Linked DNA regions of Oreochromis niloticus. The protein of the gene in region 1 interacts with the protein of each later gene in a pairwise test. Links are inferred from orthologs where the notes say so. Each region holds a gene or a part of one and is shown in the gene's direction. Other genes may lie near its edges. The genes, in order: creb3l1, tmem11, fxyd6 and prkab2.

What was found.
Region 2: the proteins of creb3l1 (region 1) and tmem11 interact in binary tests that used the Homo sapiens proteins (3 or more experiments, as listed by UniProt). The two-hybrid records come from large-scale screens. The link is inferred for Oreochromis niloticus from reciprocal best matches to the Homo sapiens genes CREB3L1 and TMEM11.
Region 3: the proteins of creb3l1 (region 1) and fxyd6 interact in binary tests that used the Homo sapiens proteins (3 or more experiments, as listed by UniProt). The two-hybrid records come from large-scale screens. The link is inferred for Oreochromis niloticus from reciprocal best matches to the Homo sapiens genes CREB3L1 and FXYD6.
Region 4: the proteins of creb3l1 (region 1) and prkab2 interact in binary tests that used the Homo sapiens proteins (3 or more experiments, as listed by UniProt). The link is inferred for Oreochromis niloticus from reciprocal best matches to the Homo sapiens genes CREB3L1 and PRKAB2.

What each region holds. Positions count from the first base shown.
Region 1 is NC_031986.2:12,843,830-12,851,256, reverse strand, and holds the start of creb3l1 (cyclic AMP-responsive element-binding protein 3-like protein 1), read left to right. Parts: upstream 1-4,423; 5' UTR 4,424-4,680; coding exon 4,681-4,791; intron 4,792-7,427.
Region 2 is NC_031969.2:14,159,502-14,167,275, reverse strand, and holds the start of tmem11 (transmembrane protein 11, mitochondrial), read left to right. Parts: upstream 1-4,771; 5' UTR 4,772-4,881; coding exon 4,882-4,928; intron 4,929-7,239; coding exon 7,240-7,756; 3' UTR 7,757-7,774. Other genes in the region: protein NATD1, read left to right, coding at 594-712, 1,606-1,722. UniProt on the Homo sapiens protein: Plays a role in mitochondrial morphogenesis.
Region 3 is NC_031979.2:21,611,521-21,619,222, forward strand, and holds the start of fxyd6 (FXYD domain-containing ion transport regulator 6), read left to right. Parts: upstream 1-4,700; 5' UTR 4,701-4,923; intron 4,924-7,702. Other genes in the region: tmprss13a (transmembrane protease serine 13a), read left to right, coding at 381-543, 808-986, 1,634-1,732, 3,441-3,583, 3,696-3,848, 3,931-3,945. UniProt on the Homo sapiens protein: Associates with and regulates the activity of the sodium/potassium-transporting ATPase (NKA) which catalyzes the hydrolysis of ATP coupled with the exchange of Na(+) and K(+) ions across the plasma membrane.
Region 4 is NC_031982.2:13,490,084-13,497,824, reverse strand, and holds the start of prkab2 (5'-AMP-activated protein kinase subunit beta-2), read left to right. Parts: upstream 1-4,727; 5' UTR 4,728-4,846; exon of another isoform or gene 4,847-5,052; intron 5,053-6,323; 5' UTR 6,324-6,348; coding exon 6,349-6,507; intron 6,508-6,623; coding exon 6,624-6,781; intron 6,782-6,934; coding exon 6,935-7,028; intron 7,029-7,355; coding exon 7,356-7,470; intron 7,471-7,741. Other genes in the region: calcium-binding mitochondrial carrier protein SCaMC-1, read left to right, coding at 251-418, 604-754, 1,942-2,123. UniProt on the Homo sapiens protein: Non-catalytic subunit of AMP-activated protein kinase (AMPK), an energy sensor protein kinase that plays a key role in regulating cellular energy metabolism.

The sequences.
Region 1 (7,427 bases):
CTTCAATTGTGAATTAGGTATTTGTAGGTTTAAAAGGGCCCTGCTCGAGTAAACGAAAGGTCACCACAGTTATATAACACCAGTGTGTGTGAGAGAGAGAGAAAAACAGAGACACCTTGTACCTTGGGGTGGGACACCATCCGTAAACTGATATGTGGAAGGAGAAAAGAAGAATGAGAAGGGATAAGGAAGGGGAGCAGAGAGGGAAGAAATTATAGATAAGGAAAAAAGCAGGAAAAAAAGGAAAACCAGAGTCAGGTGAAAGAAGCCTGGAGAGTAAGAGATCATTACATAACAAACTATTGTTTGAAATGGAACATAAAACAAACACAGAAATACCTGATGATAATCAGTGTGGTCCATTCTGAAGAGCATGTGTCTCTTAACCTCCACCACACCCTTTGCAATGACCTCAATATGAACAATACAGCATATTTAAACACTGTCCTAAATCTGTGCTAATAATCCTCAGGGCCCCATGAAGTTCTGGTGAATTATCATTTTCATGAATGACAAATCTTCGTTTAGGTTCAAAAACAATCCAAACGACACTGGAAATGTACTAAATTGCTGACGTGTTATATTCAGCTTTCTCTTCCTATCAATTATAAAGGCTGATGCGTATAAGGCAGTAGTCACTGCGTGGATAGGTGCCAAATCTGACTTGAGGTCTGGGGGGTGTACCCTCAAAAAACATTGTATTGTATTATACTGCTCTGTTTGTTTGCAGTTTCAATGGCATATTTTGTTTCAGATTGGTATGGGATTTTCGAATGCTGCAGTCTTAAATATGATCAATCTATCTAATTAATGGGCTGCATACCACAGGCCTTTAAACGCGTCAGTATTCCATTCCAGTGATCCATTACTTACAAAAACATCACTTGACCCAGCTGTCTTAGCTAATTATAGGTCAAACTCCAAATTTCCTTTAATCTCAAAAAATCTTAAGAGAGTCAGAAGAGGGATGGTTTGTTTGAAGAGTTTCAGCCAGAATTCAGAGCACATCACAGAAACAGCTTTAGTGAAGGTTACAAATATTCTTCTTATGGCCTCTGGCTGTGGACTCATCTCTGTGCTTGTCCTGCTTGACCTCAGCACAGCACTCAGTACTATTGACCATAACATTTTATTAAAGACATTAGAGCATGCTGTAGGAATTAAAGGTATTGCTCCACAGTATGAATCATATCTTTCTAACAGACTTATGACAAACTAATGTTAATTATGGGATTCCACAGGGTTCTGTGCCGGGCCCAATTCTATTTACGCTATACATGCTTCCCTTAGGCAGTAACATTAGAAGGTATAGTTTACATTTTCACAGATGATACCCAGCTTTATCTATGCATGAAGCCAGATAACACTCATATCAATTAGTTAAACTGCAAGAATGTCTTAAAGACATAAAGACTTGTTGACCTCTAATTTTCTGCTTCTAAATTCAGATAAAACTGAGGTTATTGTACTCAGGCCTAAAAGTCTAAGAACCATGGTGTGTAACCAGATGCTTACTCTGGATGGCATTACCTTGGCCCTCAGTAATACTGTGGGGAATCTTGGAGTCATTTTTAACCAGGATATGTCCTTCAATGCAGATATTAAACAAACGTGTAGCACTGCTTTCTTGCATTTGGACAATATCTCTAAAATTAGAAACATCCTGTCACAGAGTGATGGTAAAAACTAGTTCATGCATTTATGGACTACTGAAATTCATTATTATAAGGTTGTCCTAAAAACAACCATCGCAATTCATACAATAGCTGTAGAGACATCACACACAAAAACACTTTCACTAACGTTGGTTGGCTTTATCGTTATGCCAATCTAAAAGGTGTTTTGAGATATTTCTAGGTGAATCTAAATCATGGATGACCAAGCGGTCCATAGGGCATCTAACCATAACAACAACTACTACTACTGGTACTAATCCTACAAAATAGGTGATGAAACTCATGGATAAGCCCTTCTGACATGCCGAGTTCACTTAAAATCTAGCCAGATCATGGGACAGGTCGGAGTTGCAGCACACACACATTGTTTGCACCTCTGAAACGATGAACAGGGTTTCTCTTGCCATGCTGTATTTCAATCTGTGTCTTAGAGGAGAAACAATCTGGGACAGAATGAGAGGGATGAAATGAGACAGGCGAGCCTGAGCAATCATGGTGGAGTGAAGAGAAATATCTGTTTCATTCCCACTTTGTGTGTGTGTGTGTGTGCGTGTGTGTGTGTGTGTGTGTGTGTGTGTGTGTGTGTGTGTGTGTGTGTGTGTGTAATAGCTGCAGGGAGTATCTTGAGGTGTCAAAACAGCCTTTATAGTCACTTGTCTTTTTCCCAGTTTCATCTCCACAAAAATACCCATTCTCAAGGATAGGCATGGATCTCTGCATGTATTTCATGCTCAAAGATATCTGCAGGTGGATCATGGACTGTGTGTACTGTTTGTTTATTGATACTGTAGCTGCGTGTATTCACAGAACTTTCACGGATCTTAAAATAAGTGGATAATAACTCAGATGAAAATTGGGTAATATTACAGATTCTATTTAGTGCAAAAAAAAAAATGAAAAGGATTTCACTTTAGCTGATCAGATCTCTGCTCAGGTTGAGGTTTGCACAGCAATAAGGTCACCAAACTCCTCTACTGGAGAAGAATGACGTAGATTTGCAACCAAACTTGCAGAAGTGAGGGAGAACATCCATCAGCTTGTGTAGAAGTCCACACACTCCTGACAGGGCATCACTTTTAATCAGAACAAAAAATAATAATAATTCAAATAATAAGTTAGTGTGTTTCTGTACTTTGTCAAAAAAAAAATCCATAATTACATGTTTTTATTTATTTTCACTGTTAATCCACTGTAAAACAAAACAAAACAAAACAAATAAAAAACAACCAAATCCCCCAGAAATTTTGATAATATTTAGTCAAAAAGCAGGAATTTTTCTATCACTTTTGGTTTATTTATATATATATATATATATATATATATATACATATATATATATATATATATATATATATATATGTATATATATATATATATATATATATATATATATATATATATATATATATATATATATAAGATAAGATAACCTTTATTAGTCCCACACGTGGGAAATTTGGTTTGTTACAGCAGAAAGTGGACAGTGCAAAGTTACATAGCAAAAATTAGAAAAACACTGGAATAGGATAAGAATAAGATAATGTACACAACTGTACACAATAGAACAGAATAAAATAAAATACTATATACAATAGAATAAAATAGAATACAAATGCTATATACAACTGAGTAAAATACAACGATGCCAGAAAAGAGTATTGCACTTAGTGTTATTGCACATGTGTGGATGTGTGTGTTTGGTCAGTTGTCTTTGTTGTGGAGTCTGACAGCAGTGGGGAAGAAAGACCTGCGAAATCTCTCCGACACACACCGTGGGTGCCGCAGTCTGCCACTGAAGGAGCTGCTCAGTGCTGTCAGAGTCTCCTGCATGGGGTGGGAGATGTTGTCCAACAGGGATGACAGCTTAGCCACCATTCTCCTGTCACTCACGACCTCCACTGGGTCCAGAGGGCATCCTAGAACAGAGCTGGCCCTGCGGATCAGCCTGTTCAGTCTCTTCCTATCCCCGGCAGAGATGCTGCCGCCCCAGCAGACTGCACTGTAAAAGATGGCTGAGGCCACCACAGAGTCATAGAAGGTCTTCAGGAGTGGGCCCTTCACTCCAAAAGACCTGAGTCTCCACAGCAGGTACAGCCTGCTCTGCCTTTTTCTGTAGAGGGCGTCTGAATTATGAGTCCAGTCCAGTTTATTGTTCAGATAAACACCAAGGTACCTGTAGCTGTCCACAGCCTCAATGTCCAGAGCTTGAATGTTTAGTGGTTGCAGTGGAGGATGTTTGTGCCTGCGGAAGTCTACCACCAGCTCCTTGGTTTTACTAGTGTTGATCTGGAGGTAGTTCTGCTGGCACCAGTCCACAAAGTCATGGGTAAGTTCTCTGTACTCCCTGTCGTCCCCATCAGTGATGAGGCCGACTATTGCAGAGTCATCAGAGAACTTCTGCAGGAAGCACTGGGTGGAGTTGTGGGAGATGTCTGCAGTGTAGATGGTGAAGAGGAACAGAACTATGTGTATATATATGTATAAGTACTTAATTACTGTGGTGTAGTATGTAGTAGTAAAACTTTCACATCTTCTGCAGCCATCCAGTGGGCCAGATTGGAGTCTGTGTGGGGCCACTCCTGGACCCCAGACCTTATGTTTGACACCCCTGATCTAAAGCCCTAAATGGGTCTTCTTCTTTTCTTCCTTTTTGTTAATGAGCGAATAAGCGACTACAACTTTGTTTTGTGGGCGTTTTCTTTTTTGGACGTCACGTGGGCGGGGCTTCTCTGAATATTCATCGGCGAGTGGCTGAGGCGGCGCACGCGAGGAGAGAGCTGGAAGAAGCGCCGACGTCTCAGCGACAGGCAACTGGAGGAGGATGTGAAAATTTGACATTTGTCAGCGCTGACAGTGAGAGAGAGCAGCAGCAGCAGCTGGAGTCACACACAGGCGGTGCGAGGCCGTGTGAAAACAAACTGCCCGCTTTTTAATGGTCTGACTTTAATGGTCTGACGCACAGCTGTCCATCCGTCCGGTGAGGTGCAGACAGACGCAGGCAGTCATGATGGACTCTATCTTAGACAGTTTAACAGCGGAGAAACTCTATCCGTCCGGAGGGACCAACCTGTTGGACCTGGAGGAACTCAGCGACGGAGATTTTCTCACTAATGTGGTGAGGCTTTTTTTTAATTACATTTTTATTAACGCAAACTCTTAGTGCTCTTTCTCTTTCTATCGTTCTTTCTTTCTTTTTTTTTTTGCCATCTACGATAAAATCAAACGCACCTACACTGCCTGTTCCGCCCGGAGCCGGACCTCAGGAGGGCGGTGTAGCTGTTAGATCCTGACAGACATCCGGGGCTCGTAACCTGTGCTCATAACCCCTTGTGTGTACGTGTGTAGGGGTGTGTGTGTGTTTAATTGTGTAAACTAATGTGTTTGAAAGATCGGGAACACACACAGGCTGGGGTGTTACTGGTTAACTTGCGTGTGTGTGTGTTCAGCTGGCAGATGTTGCAGCATTCACCAGCACACCTAACTATTAATTTAGTTTGTGTGACTGTGTGTGTCAGTGTACTAACTCTTTCACTACACTCTCAAGTGTTTTTATTTCATTAAATCTGAATCATCTTATAAAGAAAAAAAGAAAATACAGTCTTAATATATATATTTATATATACAGTCTAATCCCTCCTTTATTGTAATCTACCTAATTATTGTTGTATTTATCTCTTGATGGCTTCATTCTGTTGCAAAATAATCTTATAATCTCAGGGTTGCATAAAAAGACAGATTTCCAATCTCTCACAGATCCCTTTTAACCCTGTGGAGTCATCAGTGATAACCCTAACCCTAATTCTGTGCTATCACTGTATTTTTTATTTGTATTGTTATTTTATTTATTTAATTTTTTGGCAATCAGAGGATGGAAAATGAATCTTTCTGATTTTTTTTAAAAAGAAACATTTTTTGCTTCTCAGAAACATTGGGGTTAGGATTGGGGCTGGTCATCGTCACTCATGGCGACTTAAGCCCCCGTCCACCTGCGAGTCCAACGGCACCTGTTTCCCTCAGTGCTCTGAGCACATCCCCATCCTTGCAGAGACACCTCATCTGTCACTATAACAAACAACAGGATGTGGTTGTGCAGAATCATGGTTGTTCATCAGTAGCACCAACAGTAGATTTCTTGATGTAGCAAAAGTGCTGCGACAGGAAGCAAGGATTTGATAAAGAATCAAGGGTTCAAATTGCTCCATGAATAGTGAATCGTTGTTATGTGGAAATTGTCTGTTTAACGCTGGCAGCCGAGCTCGTGTTTCTGGTTCTGCACAACACAGTCAGAGTTAATAGTGATGAGAGGATCGATAAAAGCCCGTGAGCATGGCGGGACACATTCATCCTCGCCAAGTACACTGAAGGTGCGCTGTGCTCCAGAGAGTTCCTGCACCCTTCCCTTTAGGGACTTAATTGCTGCAAACCACAGAGGGCAGACTCTGTTAAGAGCAGCATCTTTTGTCTTTGTTTCCCTTCATTCACTCAGTCTCTTTTTCCACTTTGTGTCATCCCCGCTTTTCTTTTTTTGAACACCGCAGGTTTTTTAGGCAGACCTCTATTCTAGTCGGTGAGTCAGCCGAGCAGTCTGCTCGTGGTTTAAAACCCCACAACACTGTTCTAAATAAAGTAGTCCACTCTGCTATGAAGCCACTCCTGGGCTGCACCACAGAGGACATGGGAAAGGATGGCTGATTAACCGAAGTTTCAGTCTCTCCCAAGTCTGCAATCTGAGCTGAGAGTTCTGCATGCCATTGGTTCATTTTTCCTTTTATTTATTTAGCTTTTTTTCAGGTGTATATGACTCTATTGCTTTTCTGTAATAAATGAGTTCTTGTTTAAACCCACAGTAATGTGCTTTTTTTGTTGTTGTTTTTTTTGTTGTTTTTTTTGCTTTCCTACTAGCCATAGTAGGAAATTGCATATTTACTCCTTTTTGGCTCCATTTTAGTCTCCACCAACTTAGTTGCAGTTAACAAGTCTTTCATGTTACTTGCTGTCTTTTTAGCCTCTTTTAAAATAAAAATTATGATTCTTCTATGTTTATGTACAGAACTGTTTGAGATTGTGGTTTGTGCAGAGTTGAGCAGAGAGCTCTGTTTTTATATATATATATATTTTTTAAGTGGCATTTATTACCACAATGAACAAGTTTTTAACAATGTGTTAAAAGCTGGAAGGCTTACTGCTTGGGATACCTCAGCTCTTTGGTTTTTAATAGGCTGTGCACTGTGGTCCAGTCCAGTAGGGGTTTAAACATTTTCTGTTCTGCTTTTTATTTACCTTTTTACAGTATATAGCTTTTAATAGCCAGTGGGTAAAAGAAATAGGTGTGGGCAGCAAGACAAAACAAAAATCGATTGTCAGCCATTACTAATGGGACAATTTACTGCAAATTACTGCCCGTGAAATGAATTTGCCGGGCCTGACAAAGAGCAGAGTGCGACCAAATATGAGCACAGACGTGGAGTTTTATTGATTTGTCATTTTGAACTCATATAATGCGATCATGACGCAAGCAAATTCCTCAAATTTCCAAACATAAGGTGTTTGTACAAGAAACCCTTGTCAGCTCTTCGTCCGATGACTACTAAATAGAAACAAGAAACAAAATTAAGACACACATAAGCATTAAGCGTGAATCACTTTAAAACACAAGAGGCACGGTAAAACGGGAGTGTCCTTTGGCTACTGTTAAACCTGAACAGATGCTTTGATCATGCGTAGAGAGCACCAAATTACCACCTGCCAGCA
Region 2 (7,774 bases), on another chromosome or scaffold:
CAAATGTGCTGTGCTACTTCCTTTCAAGCGTTCAGCTCAAGTGCTTTAAACATATTTTAAAGTTTTACACTAAGTCTCCTTCGTTTTAATAGATATTAATCCTTTACGACACACTAATATTACTGTTTTAAGTGTGTCAGTACTCGTGTTTGTCCTGGTCAGTTGTGGGTCAGCTGTTAAGAGGAAAATGGTGGAAGCCATTGTTGTGCTGAATGGAGATGTTTATCTTTTCTTCACCCAGCAACACGACCCTTCCTCCACAAGGGCATGCCTGTACCTGGCCACTCGTGCCTTGTCTTTCTCAGCAGCCATGTTGCAGCGCTACATGCAAATTAAAATCTGCTACCACACCTTAATAATGTAACTGGGGCGCTTAGAGTCAGCTTTAAAATGCTGAAACGTTGAAGTAATTGTGGGATAAAACTTGTAGTGTGCAGGGTGGCAGGCTTCTGCGGTTTCTGTTCTTTGTTTGTTTTTTTTGGTCATGTTGTCAGGTTGTTATGTCATGTTTGTAATCGATAATTAGTAAATCTTAGCAATAGTTGAGGTGAAGACCAACCTATGCCAGAGATAATATTTGTGTTTGCTCTTAGGATCCCATGATCGTGCGGTCCTTCTGTACGAGTATGTTGGAAAAAAGACGGTGGACCTGCAGCACACCGAAGTTCCAGATGCTTATAGAGGGAGAGGAATCGCCAAACACCTTGCCAAAGTAATTTTTTAAACCCAAATTTTGTGTTTGTTTACGAAACAATGCTTAGGTAGGCTCTGGCAATGCTCAGTTGGTATTAAGGTGCCAAAAGTGTGCCAAGAAAATATCCTCTACACCATCAAACCACTATCAGGCTGAATTGTTGACGTAAAGCAGGGCGGAGCCATCCTTTCATAATGTTTACACAAAATTCTGACCCTACCTTCTCAATATCACATCAGAGATTAAGACTCTCATCAGACCATCAATGTTTTACTAATCTTCTGTTGTCCAGTTTTGTGAGCCCGTGCAAATAGTAGCGTCAGTTTCCTGTTCTTATCTGATAGCAGTGGCACGTAGTGTGGTCTTCTGCTGCTGTAGCGCTTCTCCTTCAAGGTTTGACGTGTTCTTAATTCAGAGACGGTCTTCTTCATACTTGAGTTTTAATTACTGGTTATCTAAGTTGTAACTATTGTCTTCTGCTCAGCTTAAAACAGTCTGTGCATTCTCCTCACAAGCCAGTTTCTCTTAGATTATTGCCATTCTCTGTAAACCCATAAGATGGCTGTGTGGGAAAATCCCCATAGATCAGCTTGTTTTTGAAAATCTCAGATCAGCTCATTTGACACCAGGAACATTCAGAGTCTCTTAAATCAACCTTTCTTCTCTATTCTCATGCGCGGTTTGAATTTCAGGAGGTTTCCTTGATCATGTTTACATTCCTTTTTGAGGTTCTGCCATGTGATTAGCTGATTAGATATTTGCATTTATGAGCAGCTGAAAAAGTGTACCATACAAAGTGGCCGGTATATTAAGCTGGTACAGTGAGAATCGAATATGTTTCCACTTAAATCATTGTCCTAGGAAAAGCCAGATGATTTTGATGTGAGCTGTTATGCACCATGTCATTGCAGGCAGCCATGGATTTTGTGGTGGAAGAGGACCTGAAAGCTCACCTGACCTGCTGGTACATTCAGAAATACGTGAAAGAGAATCCTCAGCCTCAATACTTTGAACATATTTACCAATGATCCTGCATGGCGGTGAAGGAAGGTGGCAAAATGGACTCCAAGGAGAGAAATACTGCGTGGCGGCATGCTTTGGAGTTACAGGAGAACACGCGACAAAGGACCTTCTAGGCATGGTTAAACACAACACTGACTGAATCCAGAGAAATAGCTGAATCTCGAACCATAGACGCCTGTGAGCTGAACGTTTGATCAACCGATAAGACAGCTCTCTGCATAAACATGAGGATACACACTGGCCACAGGCAGGAGGGGAATCAGCCTATCACGACTTGTACAAACAAAGCAACCAAAGGTGAAGCCTGTTACCTCAGACAGAAACTTCCAGGACCCAACACTGACAGAGCAGATTTGAGTCAAATGTTACAGTGTGTTGCAGATTTCTGTCCTCAACTGGACTCACTGGTCATGAGCAGCAGTACGAGGTGACCACCCCTGGTGTTTTTGTCTTTGACTCCACTGATGCTCAAATACTCGTGTCTTTTTTGTTTTATGTAAATTGCAACCTCTCTTTTTCATTTTTTTTCCTATTCTTTGCAAATAATTCAATTTAACCCCTTCTTCTCAAGTTTTTAGAAAATATGTTTCTCAGAACTGATATGCTAGTGTAGAAGGTTTTGTATGCAAAAAGGCTTAAAAACAACAACACAAATCTAAATTTTTTTTGTAAGTGACAAAGTGGGAAAGCCGAATCTGAATTTTACCAATATTCCTCCCCACAGAGCCTTGTTATAAACATCACTCCATCTACTTTCATTCCTCTTCCACATAACAAAAATGAAGTTATTCCAGTCATATATCAATTCGCCGAGCGATCAAAGGTGTAGAAAACGGTGACGATGTCTGCCTCAAGATAACTCTCGCTGTTTCCATTGTACATTAAATGTTACAGGCATTGCTGATAAACGGGGTCCTGGTGTGGTGTGACACATCAGCGTGTGTATGTATAGATGTCTCTGTTCGAACCAGCAACAAAAACAGCACTGTTCTTTTCAGGGCATTCACATTTTTGTGGTGTCAGACGGCCCTTTGTCCTGTCATTGAGGAAATGCACTGGGTGGCTGTGGCTGTTTTGTTATTTGATCCATATTTCCTCTTACCCACAAGGCTTTTCTGCCCAGCTGATATCAAAATGATAAAGATCTCTGTTAAAAATAAAAATAAAATATCCCCCCCCCCCCCCTTTTTTTTTGTACTCTTTCAAGAGGTTTTGCTGTTGACAATCTTAAGTGTTGAGGAGAAAAATATACCTCAGGTAACTCGGCACACTCTGGCAGGACAATGCAGATTCTTTCTGCTGTGCTCACCTCGAGTTAATTGCAGGAATTTCCCTTTTGTTAAACTTCCCCTTGGGTGGAACACACCTAAGGATAGGCCAAGGTATTCGAGGTATTATTTCATTCTGTGTATGTGTGTTTTGTCTAAATTTGTGTGTTTCCTTGGAAGGAAGCAAATGTCTCATTTGAGCGAGTGGCTCTCACAGAGGCATCAAAATCCAAACCTTATTACACTGTTTTGTGATTTGGACTTTTTTTTCTGTACTTGCTGTCAATAAATGCATAAATAAATCAAATACACATCAGATGACTAATGCTTTATGTACGTTGGCAGGAGCAGAGGAACATTTGTGATTATTTATGGAGAAAACATGTGATCATGTACAATATACTTTTTATAACCACTGTGCAGTCATCACTACGGTGGTCATACACTGATAATAATTATCTACAATGCAGTTCGTCTTGTGCTGTTAATAGTTTCAGCATGGAAACTCCTTTAATACTTAAACCAAGCTATTTTTACACTGGCAAACCAGAACGTTAATGGTATTGGCTTTCGCTTAGTATTCAATCAGAGTACATGCAGAAAATCGAGGTAGCAGAATAGTTTCAAAATACAGAATGAGGACTGCTGTATTTGTTTAAATACTTGATCTTCTAACATGTAGATGAACAGTGTAAAAGTAATCGTGTAAGACCTAAAATTAAAGAAAAGGTGGAATTTTTACACTCCACTGAATATCTTTATCAGTCCCACACATCACAGCTACTAATGGAGTAGATTCATGTTCTAGATTACTGATGACAAATATCTGTACGTATATATGTATGTATTGGCGCCATCCAGTGGCAATTTGAAGTTATTAGATATAAATGCTCCCCATTGCTAGCGGGTTAAAACTCGTGGACTGTGTATAAGACAGACACATCCACTGGTTTGAGAAGTCCTGTTTCACAACTTCAAGTTGAGCATGTTGGTTTATTCCTGGTGGTGTTGGTGTCACTGAGCTAATACATTTAATTAAAAAAAAATATATTCAAAAAAGGTAATTGGTACACTGAAAAAGCATGGTACTTGCTAATAACTCAAACTCTGTGGCAGGAACTACTTTCTTTCTCTTGACTTCTTTTAAATTGATAAATCCATCAATTTATTTAACATGTCTACATGTGTTTAAAGCTACAAAATGCACCTTTAAATAGCTTACAGTCCTTATCTGAATAGAAAATTCCTCACTAAATTCTTAAAATTACCAGGCTTAAATATCATTGGAAAGCCACAGCTGTCAATAGCCTTGGTTGATGTGATTCGTGCTGGCACAGCATTTGTTCCCAACCATCTCACATTCCTGAACGTAGCCATTATAGTTGTGACAGCCAGCGCGCGTCAGGTTACAGCACGCGGACAGGCAGCGCGCACGAACACAGCCAGAGCACGCGAGGACACATTATGGGTGAGTACCCAAAGGTCTCCACATAAATCCTATTACAAAACGAGATGACGGAACAATGTGTCATATATTATAACAAACTTGACTATGCATGTAGCCTGTTTGCATTATTATGGGTTTAAATATGTAAATGGAACCGGTATTTTTGCTGCTTAGTTTTGCTGTGCTAACTTCATGGCTCGCCAAATTTAAATAAACATACCTTCATTCAGTTTGTTAAATCTTTTCAGAATGTGTTCTGACCTCCCCAACTGTACCATTATAAAATACGTAAAGGCAGGTACTCTGTCCGAACAGCATCATGGGAATAGTAGTCCGCATTCGAGTTCAACTGGTGAGTCGAACAGAAACTGTATTTTTTTTACACACTACAAAACCCAGAATACTGGGCGCTGTCTTACGTCAACCGCAATCACAGTTGTATCTCCAACATGGCGTCGCTGGGAAGGAGGCGCGGTGTCCCAGTAAGCAGGGAGAGGTCAGTTACTCCACATCTTGGCCATTTAAAGAACATGTTTTAATATGAAGCATTGTTTGGTCGATGACACCACTTGTCAGGTTCCGAACGTGCTTCCCGTTTGGGATTCAGAGTTAAATATCAACGGGAGAAGTCTGGATTTTTTTTTAACCCAGGGTTAGCTCATGTTAGCGGGCTAACGTACACGGCTAGCTGTCGCTAACGAGCAGCTCATGTGATGTTTTGATTATTTCACAGCAAGCGATTGACCGGGAAAAGTTTGGTTTTGCTGCTTGTTGGGGCAAACGGCAGTGCTGTATGTGACTGTCGATGTGCTTCACGGTATTGGCTCGGCTCGGCGTGTTGACCGCCGTGTTTGTCGACCTGCTCGCTCAGTAACTTAGCTGGCCGGTACTCCAACTTTCTGCCAGTCAAGCGAGTTGACTAATGCACCTAACTGAAGTACAACTTTCCCCTTGCTCCGCGAGGCTCAGCCAATTTTCCCTAGTATCTTAATATGTCATAAAAATTCACACCTCCGGTGTGAGAAGCATAGTGTTTAGCGTTTTAAGGTTTGTTTGTTGGTCCAAAAGAAGGCCTTATATTGTAACCATTTGGTACTTTTGGCATTGGATAATTGGGACTTTATGGAAAGCAGCCCCCCCCCAAAGTCTGTGTTTTTAAATGTGGTCATACACATGTTAAGATCTGTGTGCTGTTGGGACACCATTATGATGTTATGATCCCTACTTACAACGGTTGGGTGGTAGGTTGTGGGGGTTTTTTTGTTTTTTGTTTTTTTTTTGGTCTTTTACTTCTTTTGAAATCGTAAATTCAAGAATTTCACTTACAAAAAAAGTCCACACTTTTGATTGAAACATTTTGTTATTTATTCACAACATTTTGCACACCTCATCTAATCTCACTGTCATAGTCAGTTCAACGTGGTGAAACTTTAGTGCCGTCAGTGTAAAAGTCCCGACTAAAACATCAACCAAAACAGTGAATAAAAGTACAGTTTCTCTGACAACAGTTTGTCCAGCTGCCTAATTAATTACTAGAAGAAGATAATGGCATTCAACATCTTATGCATTGGGGACAAATGTGCTAAAGTTAGCTGCAGGTCTGCTGAATCCAGCTTTCAGCTGTCAGATATATGTTGTATGTCATTGGATTAAAAGTGTTCCCATGGCTGTCTGTGCATTTTGCGTTCTCTGCGTGGAATTACGAAAAGCGTAACCACACGTAAGACTGCTTTCAGCCACATGGTCTTGCTCTCATTCTTACTCCAACATCCGATTTAGACTTTTGCAGTGAATCTTTGTAAAGCTTACGTTGCCTATGTAGGTAGGTGGCCAACGCTATTGCCAACACCTTCTGTGCAGTTGTGTCCTGGAGTTTTAGATGCAAAGGCAGCCATGATAGAAACAAATAACGTTCTGAGACTTCTTTTCCTCCTTTGCTGTGGTCAGTTGATTTCAAAGGCAAGTATATTGGTCCTGAAAGGTTTTACATTTCTTCTGTACGTTCTCTAAGCAATCTCCCTCCAGGAATTTGCCTGCCAACTTTGTGTCCTTATATTGAGGCTTTTATAGACATAACATGTAGTTAAATTTCCAGGAAGGTGCACATCAGGATAGAGATTAGGGTTTCAGAGGAGTACACTACGACGTACCTACGGTCTTAACACAGAAGCCTAAATCAATCAAACTGTATTTCAGACATAGTCTGGTACTAAAATTTGGTGCTGATTGAGCAATCAATCAGTTCATTAGTACCAAAATATTTTGGTTGGTGCCTTCAAAAAAGCATTCAGTACCCAGCCCTACTAATTACACTACATATCTTACTTTCAGAAAGTCATGGATATGAAGACATACGTTTAATTAAATAAAGTACAACAAATATTAAATTCACCCCCTGCTTTTTGTTTTTGTGTGTGTGTTTTGTTTTATGATTATTACTGCAGGGGGGGGGGCAGCCAGTCCAATGAGTCCTTCATGCAGACTTATGGTTGGCATTGTAGCTGTTGTGAAGCTGTTGGCAAGCAATTTCAAGCTGAAACTGGGATATTTTAAACATTGGTATTGCTTCCCAAAATCCACACTTACACTCCTGTTATCGACTTAAAACAGTGTTAGAAGTGGGTGAATGAGCCTCTGGTTATTGGTTAGAGAAATATCCTTCCCTTTTATGTTTGTTAGATGGTGACAGAGTGGACATTTCAGCAGGCAGGAAATGGGGAAATACAGTCTTCGCTTAATTAATGTGTGTTTAATGTCATCTGTTCTTACACTCACTGTTCCCTGTCTGTTCCTGTGTTTCTGCACAGGGGTGTGATGGCGGCGTCAGACTGCTACATCGTGCACGAGATCTACAATGGGGAGAATGCACAGGACCAGTTTGAGTATGAGCTGGAGCAGGCGCTGGAGGCCCAGTATAAATACATTGTTATCGAGCCCACGCGGATCGGAGACGAGACGGCCCGTTGGATTACTGTTGGCAACTGCCTGCACAAGACAGCCGTGTTGTCGGGTGCTGCTTGCCTCCTGACGCCACTTTCGCTGCCTGTTGAGTACACGCGCTATGTGGCGTTGCCCGCTGGCGCCCTCAGCGTGGCCTGTGCCGCCCTCTATGGGATTTCGTGGCAGTTTGACCCCTGCTGCAAGTACCAGGTGGAATACGACAGCCAAAAACTCTCGCGGCTGCCCCTGCATACACTGACCTCCTCGACGCCCGTGGTATTGGTACGCAGGGATGACATCCACAGAAAGAGACTCCATAATACGATAGCACTGGCTGCCCTGGCGTATTGCGCCAAGAAGATCTACGAACTCTATGTGGTATGAGTGCACTCTGAAGAGGAT
Region 3 (7,702 bases), on another chromosome or scaffold:
GGTCTGCGATTTGTGGTAGTGAGCACAGGGCCAATAGCGGACGTTATGACCTCATCAGAGCAGTTAAGAAAACCCCTCTGCTACTTAACTGGCCAAAAAAATGACCTCATAAAATCTTAAGACTTGTTTAAAACTGTGTGAAAATTACTCAAAGAGTTCTTAAATTATGGCCACAAGGTGTTTTGTTAGGTGACCGTGACCTTGATAACATAAAACATTATGACTCCTGTGAAGATCGCTTTAAGATTTAACAGCACTGGAGCAGCAACGCTGGCAGATACAATGTATTTTTTCTGCACTCATCAAGGATAAAACTATATGCTGAAAATAGTTTTGTTTCCCTTTCTTTCTTTTGCATGGTACCTTGCATTGTTGTCCAGATTGTGGTAAGCAGCAGGCCACATCCCGGATCATCGGTGGCACCGTAGCTAAAATGGGTAATTGGCCTTGGCAGTTGTCGCTACAGTTCAGAGGATCCCATGTCTGCGGAGGAGTCCTGATCTCCCCTGATTTTGTGCTTTCTGCTGCCCACTGTTTCCCAAGGTAACCAACAAAAACAAAAAACAAAAAAATTAAAACAAACATACCCTTGTAATTTTTTTCACACCCCCTTAAATTGACCACAGTCTACCTTAGTAAACTCTCTGATTCCTAGAGTCTGTACATTGTGATTGTAGATACTTTAAGGTCCAGCTGCAGTTAACAATGCAAAAACATGCATTTTAAAAATCATAATGCCCATTATTCTGTGCTGAAATCTACATCAATCTGTTGCTGTCCATTGAGGAGTGTCTTTCGGGGTTTCAGAGACATCTCTGCGGCTCTATCCCCTCAGAACTGGAGAGTATACGGTGGAACGGTGTCCCTGAACAATCTGCCTGCTCCGTACCTTGTTGAGAAGATAATAGTCAATGAGAACTATGACACTAAAACTAATGACCAAGATGTTGTTCTTCTCAAACTTACATCCCCAGTCACTTTCAATGGTCAGTTGCATCTTTACATTCTTTAAAAAAATGTGTGTAGTCCTCCAACCTTGATAGCTGTAAGCATGTATAAGCATATATGTGGGCATCATGTTGGAAAGCAGAGCGTGTGAAGGATTTAATTGCTTCCTCCATGAAAATATTCAGCACAGAAAACCTTCGATGATGGAACCTGTGTTAGGAGCACTATGTAGAGTTTGCTGAATTTGCACAAAGAAAGGAACAGTCTTAATTTTTTATGGTAGGTTTATTTCAATGAGGAGAGACACAATAACAACTAAAAATCTAGGGAAAAAACTTACATCACAGAAAAGTTATACGTTTTTTTTCCCCAAATTCAGCAGGTGATCAAATAATGATTTCTCTTACTCTGTACTTTATATAGTCTACAGTAGATTATGTAGATTATCAACAAAAACAGGACACTAAAAAGTATGCAGAATAGTAACAGCAATGAAAGTATTTCCTTTCCTGCTCAGTCTGAGCTTTTAAAGCCTGTGAGTTCACAGTCAAACTGTTAATCTGCCATACATAGTGCAGTTGTTTTACCGTGTATGTACAGATCTATCTACAACACTATCCTTTTGAGCATACAAGGTGGCTGATGTGTTGGCAGAAGTTTAAATACATATTCTTGTGTTAACCAGATAAAGTTCAGCCCGCTTGTCTGCCAGCATATAACCAGAACTTTGTGCAAGGAACTCAGTGCTGGACCTCGGGTTTTGGCACCACACAGGCTAGTTCAGGTAAGCAGAAATGTAAAAATGTTAAGTATACTAGAAATCTAGCAAATGGCAGAGTTTTAGTCATTTATGAATGTAATTTATTTTACTGAGATGCCATGATTTCCATTCTCATGTGTTGGGGAATATAGTCTGCCTGTCACGATCTGAGGAGGCAGACCGTGCGGTGTGTGTGTGTGGACCCAGGTGCGAACACACGAGAGTAGGCTGGAGTAAACTTAACTGAAAGCGAGCCTTTATTGTGGCTGGTGACAAGAAGTGCGAACAAGGCAGAAACGCAGTGATAAACTAAACTATAACTAAACTGGGAAAATGGTACTAGGAAAAGCTATGAAGACACAGGAAACCATAACTATAGATACAGAGACTGGCTGTGACAACATGGAGGGTGGAAACACAGACGACGCGACAGGCTGCATGAAACACAGAGACTAAATACACATGAGGGATGATCAGGGGAAGTGGCCACACATGGGAGCACAGCTGACACACATGAACCTAACGACAGGACAGGAGAAGTGAAACTAAATACACTGACATTGAATATAGACTTTCAAAGTAAAACAGGAAACATGGAGATTAGACATGGAGATAAAACATGACATGAACTTAACATAACTGCATAGACAAGAAACGTAGACGCAGAAACCAGGGAGACTGAGTGCAGGGGGAGATGACATAAGGGAACAAGACTAAATTGCAATCTAGAAATAAATAAGGTGAACTAAGCTAAGGCACAAAAGAATACAAAAGATACATAAACTCAAACACTGGGTCGCTCGACCCAGGACCATGACACTGCCTGTGTACATCTGCATTGCATGTTTAAGCCCTGTTGTTTCCAGCAGTGTTTGATTGTTTTATTGTACATAAAGCTTTAAAAGTTTAGGTTTGGTCTATGAAGGACTTTTAGCCATTTTAGTCACTAAAACTAATGCCTTAAATTGAAGGAAGATAGGACCCACCCAACGCATTGACAGATACAAACAAAAATACAACTGGGGATCTGGGGAAAGGTGCAGCATTAAAGGTCACAGTGAGCATAGTGGCCTCCATCATCCACAAATGAAAGAAGTCTGAAACCATCAGGACTCTATCTGGCCAATCTGAGGTGTTGGGGAAGAAAGGCCTTAGTTAGGGAGGAGATCAAGAACCCAATGATCAATCTGACAGAGCTCCATCTTTGCTCTGTGGAGACAGGAGAACCTTTTAGAAGGACAACCATTTCTGCAGCACTACACCAGTCAGGCCTGTAAGGTAGAATGACCAGACGGAAGTCACTCATAAGCAAAAGGCAAACTATTTAACATTGCTGATGTAATAAAAATGATCAACTGAAAATTAAAATAACAAATCTGCAAGCTGAGAAAGAATGGGAAAGGATTACAAGAAATCAACAACAATGAAATGACGGGAATGAGGAAGTAACTAGCATCTGTTGTCTATATAATCATCTAATGAAAAATATGCTTGAAAAAGAAATGTTAATGGCTGATGGGCGGGTGACAACTCTCAATCAATAAACAAAGGACTGGGACATCATTAATCATAAAAACTGAAGACAAATGAGGAAAACAAAGAAGGCACAGTTTCTGTTGCTGAGACGGTGCACCTCACAGTAATGTGTAATATTTACATCAAGCTACTATTATGGGGTATTAACATTGCCATGTAAAGGAAACAATGACCTGTTTTTTTCATTTTTTTAAAGGTGTTGCCTCGAAGGATCTGATGGAAGTGAGTGTGGACATCATTGATACACAAGTGTGTAACAGTCGTGATGTTTATGGAGGTCTAGTGACCAATTATATGCTCTGTGCTGGGAAACTCAACGGAGGCAAAGACTCCTGTCAGGTGAGCAGTCAGTATTAAGGAACAGTTTAACAGAAATCATATGCATAGATTTGACCATCTAGCAACCTTTGAAGTAACATTTGTGCTAACCAAGTATAATATATTTTTCCAGGGTGACAGTGGTGGACCTCTGGTGTGCCAGGGAGAGAATCGCTTTTACCTGGTGGGGATTACGAGCTGGGGAGCTGGCTGTGGTGAAAAAAACAAACCCGGGGTTTACACCAGAGTCAGCAGTGTTCTGCCCTGGATCTACACAAGCATGCATGTAAGAGAGAAAGGAAAAAAAATAATTAAAAACTAGAAGGGGAAGGCTTTCTCTATGTTAACTCCTCCTTTGCCTCTTGCAGAGAGCTATGGTTTGACATCACTCTGCCTCCTGCTGGTGTTTTCCTCCGAATGAAGTCACTATGAAGTTGTCTTGAGGGAGTAGCAGGATGACAAAAATGACCACATACATTCATTAATGTTGTGCTCATCATCTATACTCATCTCAGGTCACATGGATTGAATATATTTTACACTACCCACATGTATACAAGCTAATCAATGCACTGACTTCACTCTTTTAATTTTGATTTTATTCTTTTGTGCGTGTACTAAAGCTTACCTTTAATTTAAGTGAGCTTTAAAAGCAGATGATTTTTTTATATCATGTGTTGTAATTCCATGAAACGCTTTCAGCACTCTACTGAGATGTCCTTAATCAGTTTGTGGTTGATTAATGTATGACTGTGTATAATTATGTATGATTAATTATTATGAAGGTGTTTTTCTCTCTCTCTCAGGAACACAATTCTAACTTTTGTGTACCATATTAAAATCAAGACATTTTGTGCATTACCTTTGTGAAGTATAAGCACCGTAACACTTGACTCAGTCACTAAGCAGTGCACTTAAGCCACTACTCACGTTGGGATTTTTCTTGAAATTGTTCTTGATTGTATTCTTTGTTATGTTCATGTCATAAGTTTGTGAAGGATCGTGCGAATAACATACACAACATATATCAGATAAAGAAGGAACCACCCACTCCCCTTTATTGTGGTGTTTAATGATTTTGTGGGCAGGAGGGTCTGTGGTGAGCGTGCCTGGTGTGTGAGAGAGGGAGAGATGCAGAAAGAGGGAGCGGCAGGGACGATTCCACGCACTAAATAAGCAGTCACTCCAGGAGTCACACTGTTGTCGTCATCACATCTATTTTTCCAGGGGAAGTACATATGAGCAGGTTGCACATATTGACAGATGAGAATACTTGAAGCAGAGTCCTTGTGAGACAAACTGATTGATTTTTGCGGGTGGATATCAGTTTGTTAACGAACGGTCCGCTGGAGAAACAAAAGGTAAGTTAATAAGCGACATATTTGATTGTGTTATTCATATAAAAACAAAAAGGGATCCAGTGGTCTAAAAAGAATATGGGTGCAATAAGACTGTAAGGCAAGGCAATTTTATTCATAATGCCTCTCCAGTGTGCATAAATTGTGTCTTTCGTGCAAACTTCTTTGTGGGATTATTTTACGCAAACGTGTGGTGTAATTTATTATTATTATTATTTTTAATGTCCCACTTGTCTGGTGTACATGGTCACAATAACTAATCGAGATGGCATTTTCAAGGCTGCTTGTTATTTACCACGCGAACATGTACCACGAGGGTGTGTCTGTTGGCACTAATCGCTGGTTACGCAGATATTGCAAAAACGGGGTAAAAACCGTGATTAATCCACTTGTCATTACCAAGTAAAAATAACTCGTTTGTTATGACGCTGCTGTTTAGCTGTTTCAGTGAAAAGGAAAATCACCAGGCGGATGATGGCTCGGGTTTTCTTAATCAGCAGATGATCCACAGGTTGAGAGACGCAAAAGTGGATCGATGCGAAGACGTCACGCATCGGATATTGAGGCATATTGTGCAAGGTGTTTTTTGTTGTTGTTTTATGAGACTCTCAGTCAAACCAAACAACGCGTAATTTGGCTCAGATCCTTGATGGATCGTCACGAGTAATGGGGAGGTTATCAGTGTGTGTGATTGAGGTCTCCCTTTGTCCCCGACAGGCGACTTTATCTGAAAACAGCCGCTGAACGTACGGTCACGCTCGTTATATATTTATTTATTTATTCATAAATCAGTTATCTTAGAAATGGTCTCAGTGCAGGCCAGAGATTTCGACCCTAAAGATGCGTGCCACACCCCTTATTCCTGTTTAAGTGGAGTCAGTGTTGTCTCTGCTTTAACCCATTTCTCTTTCGGCGCCACAATTGTCAGTTGGAGACAGTTACCATGGCGATAACTGGACACTAAATTACGATGGCTGTCATAGTGGTGTAACATCATTATAATGGCAGATATAGAGGTCAAGGCTTTTTGTTTTGTTTGTTTTGTTTTGTTTTTTGGATTCATGTATTGTACAACCCAGTAAGCTGCCCCACATTGTATTGATGTTAATATATAGGGCTCTTTTCATATTTAGTTGGATTTATTGGGTTTAGATAATGCCTCAGGGTTATTAGTCACCCAAACTAATTTCCTTCAGACACTACTCCAAAGTGTGAAGTGAAACAGGAAGATATGGCCCAGTTATCCCAGCCAGTATTTTAAAACTGTGTTAAAAGGTACGCCTGCTATCTAAATACCAATAGATCTACAAAGCAAATAGTGTGGTATCAGTCATGGAGGTGCAAATTGATGTGCAAATGAAATCTACATGAATTTGCACTTCCCTGACTTTGAAGCACACAGGACAAGCCAGTGGGGAAAAACAACACCAACAACAATGAAAACATCTGTCATGTGATAATTTCAAATATCACCTAACCTCTGTTTCATTTGGTACATGATAGGCTATTGATAGAACTACTATACTATTATTGTAGGGTCTCTATCTTGCAATATAAAGCGCATTGAAGCAACTGCTATTGTGATTTGGCACTAATATAAATTAAATTGAATTGAATTGACTGAGTGTTGGTGTTAGTGGGGTGTGGTCACACACTGTCATTTTAGGATGGATTTTCCTTCATGACCTTGTTGGGGTTTTTTTTTTCATAACTCCTGCATTAGAGTTACACATTTGCCAAGCAGTATAGTGTCAAAGGTGAAAACCATTATTTTTTTCATGTCTCTGTGATTCTGGAGCACTCTGCTGCCCTTGTGTACTTCACTATCTCACTGCTGTTATTGCTTTGTCCCTCCTTGGCCTTTTTTTAAAAAAGCTCTGTGCATGTTATACTGTAAATGTCACTACGGTACAACAGGCTGCCCTACCAAAGTCCCCTCCCCTCAGACAGTGTCTCTGCTGCATGCCCTTCACCTGTACTACCAGACAATGTCTAACCCTGTCAGCCTGTCTCCCAGCCTCACTGGCTTTCATCTTGCCCTTTCCTCGTCCCAACATTACAGGAAACAGCCTCCATTCAATGTTGTTGCCTTTTCCAAACAGATATCATCACCACGTCTGCCCTTTTCTAGTTCTGTACTCTCAGACAATAGAAAGCCTGGCTCAGGAACTTGATATTACCAAACAATGTTGCAGATTAGACAGAGGAAAGATGGAAAGGCAACCGCTCAGGTGTCATGTTCACGCACAGGGAGAAAAAGGCTGGCAGAAACAGTCAGATTATACATTATATGGGGAAGTACAATTGTGCCAAATCTCTAACTCATTCTCACAGGAAAAATATGGCACTGACCCACCCAAGGTCAAAAGTGCTACACTTCAGAAGGAAGCCAAATTGAACTCTAACAAAAGTCATTATAATTTTTGTATTCATCTGATGGTCATGGATATTGGTCCGAGAAGTAAGTAATTTTAAGCTAAACCTATGAAGCTGATATTTTAATACTCGTGTATGGATGTTTTGTCTTCATCCTTTTGTGGGACAGTTGATAGGACTTTGTAGATTACAGGTTTATGTTATATACAAGTATATTGTAAACCAAATCATGATATTTTCTTAAATATAACCAAGTTATTTAGTGCCTAAACCTTACTTAACACTGAGTAAACTGTTAAACTGAACAGTGACTGAAACCCAAAAGAAACAGTAAGCAGCAAAGTATAAAAACTCCACTACTGACTAGATTATATATAGTGTTATGTATAAAACACTCAAACCTAAG
Region 4 (7,741 bases), on another chromosome or scaffold:
CCTCGCCTCTGTCAGTGCACCCCAGGGTGGTTGTGGCTACAACGTAGCTTGCCATCACCAGTGTGTGAATGTGTGTGTGAATGGGTGAATGACTGGATATGTAAAGCGCTTTGGGGTCCTTAGGGACTAGAAAAGCGCTATACAAATACAGGCCATTTACCATTTACCATGCTGCGGTAACATGTCCTCTCCACGCAAACCAACCAAATTTGACCTCCTTTGTATTTTTTATGCATTGCTTCTCTCTTAGGTATTAAAGACTCGGTTGACCCTTAGGAAAACTGGCCAGTATGCAGGAATGTTTGATTGTGCCAAGAAGATCCTGAGGAAGGAGGGCGTCAAAGCTTTCTACAAGGGCTACGTACCAAACTTACTGGGCATCCTTCCCTACGCTGGAATAGACCTGGCTGTTTATGAGGTATGCTGGCTTTGTGACGCATGGAGATTTCACAATGGATTGCACTTTAGTTAATTAGCTCATTTATATGCACACTTAACCAATCCATCGTGCAGAGTTACATTAAATTAAATGAGAGAAATTTTTGTGTTATGCTGATTTTGCACATTACCTCAATTTTCCCTTCTCTTGTCATAACTCTCCAGACTCTAAAGAACACTTGGTTGGCACATTACGCCACTGACTCAGCCAACCCTGGAGTGCTGGTGTTGCTGGGCTGTGGGACCATCTCTAGTACCTGTGGCCAGCTGGCAAGCTATCCACTCGCACTTGTGCGCACTCGGATGCAAGCACAAGGTAAACACAGCCTGATATTTGAAAACAGTAATGACATAACTAGGTAGCCCCTTCGTTACATAATAATAGCATAATATTTTTCAAGGTGGGCGGGATGCATGTGATGGTGTAAAGGTTCTGTAAATGTGATCCATGTTTTCTGTAAATATATACTTGTGTTACAGCCCACGTAATGTCAAGGGGCTCCATCTGAAAAAGGGCATTCCTCTTTAACGTTGTTCACTTTGAGATGAAAGTTGTTTTTTGAATGTAACATTTAGACAGGGTCATGGTCTCACAAACTGACAAATCAGTGTTATATGAGTAAAGAGACTAATAGACAAAAATGTTGGCTGTTATGGACCACTACATTCATTGGCCACTTTATTAGTTACATATTGCTATTATCAGGTTGGATTCTTCTTGGCATAGATTCAGCAAGGTGCTGGAAAAATTCCTCAGAGACAATCCTTGGTTCATACTGGCATCCACGATGTGACTCTCCACTTAGATTGAGATCTGGTGATTGTGGAGGCCATTTGAGGAACAGTGAACTCATTGTCATGTTCAAAATCTCAGTTTGAGATGGTCTGAGTTTTGTGATAATGGGGTTTTATCCTGTTGGAATTAACCATCAGAAGATGGTACACTATGGTCATAAAGGGATGGACATGATTAGCAACAATACTAAGGTAGGCTTTTGTGCCTAAACAATGCTCAATTGGTACTAAAGGACCCCACGTGTGCTAAAAAAAAGTATCTCTTCTACCATTACACTACCAGCAGCCTGAACTGTTTGATACAAGACAGGATGGATCCATGCTTACATGTTATCTAACATCAACAAGGCATTTTCACCAAGAGAACTGGCACTCACTGGATGTTTTCGCTTTTTCAGACTATTCTCTGAAAATCTATTCTAACCCTAGAGATGACTGTGTGGGAAAATTCCAGCAGATCAATAGTTTCTGAAATGCTCAGACCAGCCTGTCTGACAAAAACAACCATCCACGATCAAAGTCACTTAAACGATTCTCAGTTTGAACTGACCATGACTACACGTCTAAATACGTTGAGTTGCTGTTATGTGACTGGCTGATTACATATTTGCATTAAGTCAGTTGAGCAGATGTACCTAACAAAGTGGCCAGTGAGTTTATTTTTTGCTTTTTAATTGGTTCTCTAACATAGCTTATATTTCTTTACAGCATCTCTGGAACCATCAAACCAGCCTTCTATGAGTTCTCTGATGAAGAAGATTGTAGCCAAAGATGGTGTTTTTGGACTCTACCGGGGCATCCTGCCGAACTTCATGAAAGTCATTCCTGCAGTCAGCATTAGCTACGTCGTTTATGAGTATATGAAGAGTGGCTTAGGGATCTCCAAATGATACTGCAAAAAAAAAAGAAAAAGTTTACTTTATATGTCAGACTTGAAAATGCCTGAAATAACTCCAAAAAGACAGATGGCGATCAACCATACAGTGCATGTTTTAAGAGCCGTCTGCCAGTAGTTAATTAATAATTTGTGGTATGCATGGTCAAATTTTTTTTTCTTACTGTAAAACATACCATTCTTCCTGCATTTACTTGCGTTATTTACACACAAAAAGACAGTTCTGGAAAAACACTAAAACGTGTTAAGTGTAATGGCTCGTTTCATTTATGCCACGGATATTCCTTTAAACTGTGATGAAACAAATACGTGACATAGCGTTGTGCGTTTCCTTTGTTTGAAAGATGACGCTATGTCAGCTGAACTTTTCACATGTCTATGCACTGTATACATGATTTTGTAAACACCTGCCCTAAGTGACAGCGGTTCCAAACAAACCATTCTCCAATCAGCAGCTGTCCACTAAAAATAGCTGGCTTGGACAAACGAATACTTGTTAACACTGGAACAGTGTGTGAATGAAGACACACATCTTGTGCAATGTGAAAACCACTGATCTCTCTGTTTGATAACGATTGAAATGTGCCTTATCTGGGTGTAAATCTGATGATAACATCAGAAGATGTGTTTTATAACTATACATATTACTGTATATATGTTTCCAGTTATGCTTATTTATGGGATTCAACGATGAAAAATACTTGCAAGAAGCATGTGTTTGTCATGTTTCAATCCTCATTTCAACCTAGTACATACGCACAACACATTCCTGCTACAGTTAACATTCATTCATTTGTTTCATTCTCTTTCACACAGCCAAGTGGATGGAGTTTAGATGTAGCATGCATGATAACAATCTTCTGTGTTTAGTTTATGTGGCATTTTCTGAGCTTGAAACTAGTCTTGATTTATTAGCTGGTGAAACTTGGTCCTTCCAGGGAGGCTTGAATGCTGATATTGCCTCCTCAGTAATGTAAGGATCACTGGTTGGAAAATCGGTCTGATGTGTTGAAATCTTTGCCAAGTGGTCAATAAAGACAAAACCTGTGGATTTGTTTCCACACAGAACTTAAACTTTGTGTTGGTGTCAGTAAGGATATTGAACTTCCATCCGGTTAGCATCTATGAAGAAGGAGATGAAACGGAAATACAAAAACTGAAAACATTTTTGCATCAGCTTTGTATTTTTGATTGAAATTTCTGTGTGCATTTTTTTCTATAACAAATTAAATCCTCCAAAATTAGGAGGGAAGGGAAAACATGTTTACAGTTGAATTTTGGATTCTTGCTAATCCACACAGCTTTAAAAATATGCATACAAGCCTGAAGATGTACATGTACTCACTTAAATCTTTAATAAGTGATGCTGAAGGTTCTACAATGACGTTGAACTTGGCATGGTCAAAACCTGTTAAGTTCTTGTTAGTGATCATGATTAACTACAACTGGTAAAAAGGATTTGTTTTTCAACACTCACTGGATTGATCAATACTCTGATCAATACTCTGAACAACGGGAACGTTTAAAGAACTCAGGAAAGAGCTTAGAAGGAGAATTGTAGATTTACACAAGTTGGAAAGGTCTCTTGGAACCACGTCTAAACAGCTGCAGATTTCTAAACAATTGCAGGTCCAGATATCTGGTTCCTTGTACAAGTTGTTTGGATGTGTCATCCATTTGCCAAAGTTTAGAAGAAGACCCAAATTGTCACTGTCAGATGAGAGGAAAATGGTTAGGATGTTCAGGAACCACCAAGGCTCAATCCTGCCACGAACTTAAACTCCTGGAACACAGTCATGTCCACATTGAAGTGAGTTTACATCACCAAGGACTGAGAGAAGCCCCTGCTCCATAATCCATATTTTCAAGCTCAAATGAAACTGCCCACATGGACAAGTTAAATGCCTGCTGGAGAAAAAAAATCTCTCATTTGTGACATTTTTGACAACACCTGTATATACAGTGATTAGCCACAACATTAAAACCTAGTGAGCAGGCTTCCCTAATGCCAACAAAACAGCTCTGACCATCAACATATCCCCAAGTAAACAACTTGGGGATATGTTAATACCCCAGGATTTTTGGAAGCTGGGTCCTCAGGGGGTATAGACATACTATACAAACCACATTTATTATTAAACGTTTGATAGTAGGCATCATAAATAATAATAAAAGTAATAATAATAATAAAACAATTTAAAAAAAAACATTCCTTTGAAAAGATTGGACTGAAAATAAGTGAAAAAGCATGTCAAAAAAAATTAAACTGAAACATCTTCAGAAAACCTGGGGAACTGCTGCTGAAGAACACTGTAAAAAATTACTATAAAGTCTGGCTCCTTGGAAGGGAAATATAAATAGGTGAGAGATGATTTGCACAATGCTGTATATTCACTGGGATCACATTACATGCTTATTACTTACTATGTTTATTTAACTATGCAGTCAGTCGTAAAATACTATTTATTTTACTTTAGTTCCTTGCGGGTGTCTCTTAACCTTCTTTATTTTGTGGCCAGGCTGTTTTTGTGACAGATGTTTCCTTGCTGGTGACCGCGACCTTCAGCCTTTTTTTTTCGCTTATTTGAACAGTTTTTGTCTTAACCGGTTTCCGTAGTCGGGGCAGCACTGAGCTCTCTGCAGTTGTTGTGGAGAGGTGGGCCCGCCCTCTGCTAAAACACAAACTGAAGTCAGTGTGCAGATAGGTGGAGGGTGTCGGTGAGTTTTTCCTGTCTGTCAAAACCTAATGGTGAAAAACTAGTGTTTGTTGCGGCGCAGGTAAACAGAGCAAACAGCTTGGTCGTTTGTTTGTAGACAGTGACAGCTAGCAGTTAGCTAACTTTAACTCCCAACAGCGGCTAAAAATATTCTCCTGCGAAGTGACCTGAGGTGGACACAGCTGAACAGCTGGTGGGGAAACTACGGTAGGTTTCAGTCAGCAAGCTGTACGAGTACTCATGATTAATTACTAATGGCAAAATTGTGTATCTATGTATGTGTGTATGTTATTTTAAGGTCTGTAGTTAAAACTTGTTGATTTGGCGCTAGCTTAGCTAGTGGGCGTTAACTAACGGAGACTTTCTTACTACGTTATGTCTGAAAGCATGATTGTATTTACGTTAAGCGGTTTTTGATTCAAGTCCAGACACACGGCCAGAAGGCAGTCCCTGTTTCACCTGTCTGGCTTTATCCGTCTACCGACCGGTAAGCCAGTTAGCCCTACTGGAAAGGCGTTTAGCTTTTTTGCCTGAGTCAGGCTGCTGCTCATCGTGTTACGATGGTGTTTGTCATGCTAAACAAATAGTTTCATATAACAGGTTCAGTTTGTATTTAAACATATATCACAAGAGCTTGTGGTCAGCCTCAGCTTCTTTCTGTGATGTATTGTCTTGTTGGATAAATGGAGTTCGACTATGGTGTGTATTCAAGACATCTTCATTGTCATATCCTGTTTTTAATGTGTTGTCAGTAGCATCTAGAGGTTTGTATTGATGCAGATCTCTTAAATTTTATATATAGATAGATAGATAGATATAGATACATATATACATATGTGTGTGTGTGTGTGTGTATAGTATGTATATATATGTATATAGATATAGATATATATATATATATATATATATATATATATATATATATATATTCAGCCTTTTTTCCATATATATATATACATATATATATAAAATGAAAAGTTTCTAAGACATTAAAAACTGGATTAAAAAAATATATATATATTTTTCTACTGACTGATTGTAATAACACAAAAAAGCTCATAACAAATATAAAAAAGAAATACTGACCATCAGTAAAATGTTTAACATGGAATAAAATTAAAAATGAACTTAAAAAATAACAATACTAAGCTGTAAAATGATAGATTAAAAGGTTTTAGTTACATTTTTAGTCAAATTTTAAAAAGAGAAAGTACCGTCACTTTTTAGCTGTTTGTTGAACAGCTAAAAATGAAGAACCAGAAAACCTGGGGGGGTCTTCGTGCTTCATAAACAAACTTTCATCCTTATCAGATGTATAAAATTTATAATGGGGAAAAAACAGGAGATTACCACGAACTATTAAGATGTCTAGTGCTGATCTGATGCCTACAGTCTGTTTGTCTCTTCAAGTCTTTTTCTTGCTTCTGAAAGATCTTGCTTTATGCTTAAACACATAATGGATTGTCCTTTATTTCCAGTGGCACTGCAAAAAAGTGAAGCACCATGGGCAACACAAGTGACAGAGTGGCCGGAGATCGACATGGCGCCAAGGCCCATCGCACAGACAGCGGCAGCGGTTCCAAAGACCAAGAACCCAGCAGCAAGATGGTGGACAGCACAGATGACCCCAACACCTTCAACACACATGGACCTGAATCGAAGGTACGCATAGATAAATACAGATTATAATATAGAAACAAATTTGTCGTCCTCAGATTTGAAAGCATTATTTGGTCAAAACAGCTTATATTTGAGATTCATATGTTTACTACTTTCAGGCATCAGGAGAGAAAGAATTCACCCCAGATTTGGATGATCTGGTTAAAACTGGTCCTCAGGCTCGCCCCACTGTGATCCGCTGGGCCGGAGGTGGGAAGGAGGTCTACATAGCTGGTTCTTTTAATAACTGGAACACAAAGATACCACTAAATAAAAGGTAAACAGGAAGTTGATAACGGTACGTTATCATGTTCATTATCTAGTAATGAACATAATGACCACAGTAAAGCTGTGGTCATTATGTAGCTTGAGAGTTTGTAAATAAATGTTTCTGATATCGCACTAATACATTCTCCTCCTCTCTCCTAAGCCATAATGATTTTGTGGCAATTCTGGACCTGCCCGAAGGAGAGCACCAGTACAAGTTTTTTGTAGATGGACAGTGGGTGCATGATCCATCAGAGGTACAGTAGCTTCATTTTTTTCCCCCATTAACTTATTAATGCACACTGCATTTGGGATGATGCAGAGACCTCTGATAGTACAAAAAGGAAGGGACACATTCCTTTGTGGAAATTTAGGATTTAAATTTCATCAATCTTATATTGTGTTATCCTCACAAAATGTGGACAGTGAAACCTCAGAGGGACTGTAAAGCTTTGAAAAGCCCTTCTATTTGGTGAAAGCCGCTAAATAGCTCTTTAGCCTTAGGGAAAGATGTGCAGGAAACTGCTAATTTTACACATGCTTCCTCATTTCCTCTGTGATGATTTCTCTCTCCTTTTTGGCAGCCGGTGGTAACCAGCCAGATGGGAACTATCAACAACTTGATCCATGTGAAAAAGTCTGACTTTGAGGTGTTTGACGCCCTTCAGGTCGACTCTTTGGAGTGCTCCGACACGTCAGGTCAGCCTGCTCTGTTATTGAGTTATTTAGTCAACTAAAGGTAATCACCTTGTGTAAATAGTAACTGGAAAGTGCCTTGTCATATTGCAGCATGCCTTTCCTGACCTTGCACTAACAGTCCCAGCAATTTATGTCTTAATACAGCTCCCAGGAAAGGAGTTGAATAATAAACGCCGAAATACATACAACAATAAAGAATACAGCTTTTTTATTGTTGTTGTTGTTAGTGGTTAATTGGTCAGTAGCTGCATAGAGTAAAGTATGTATGTGA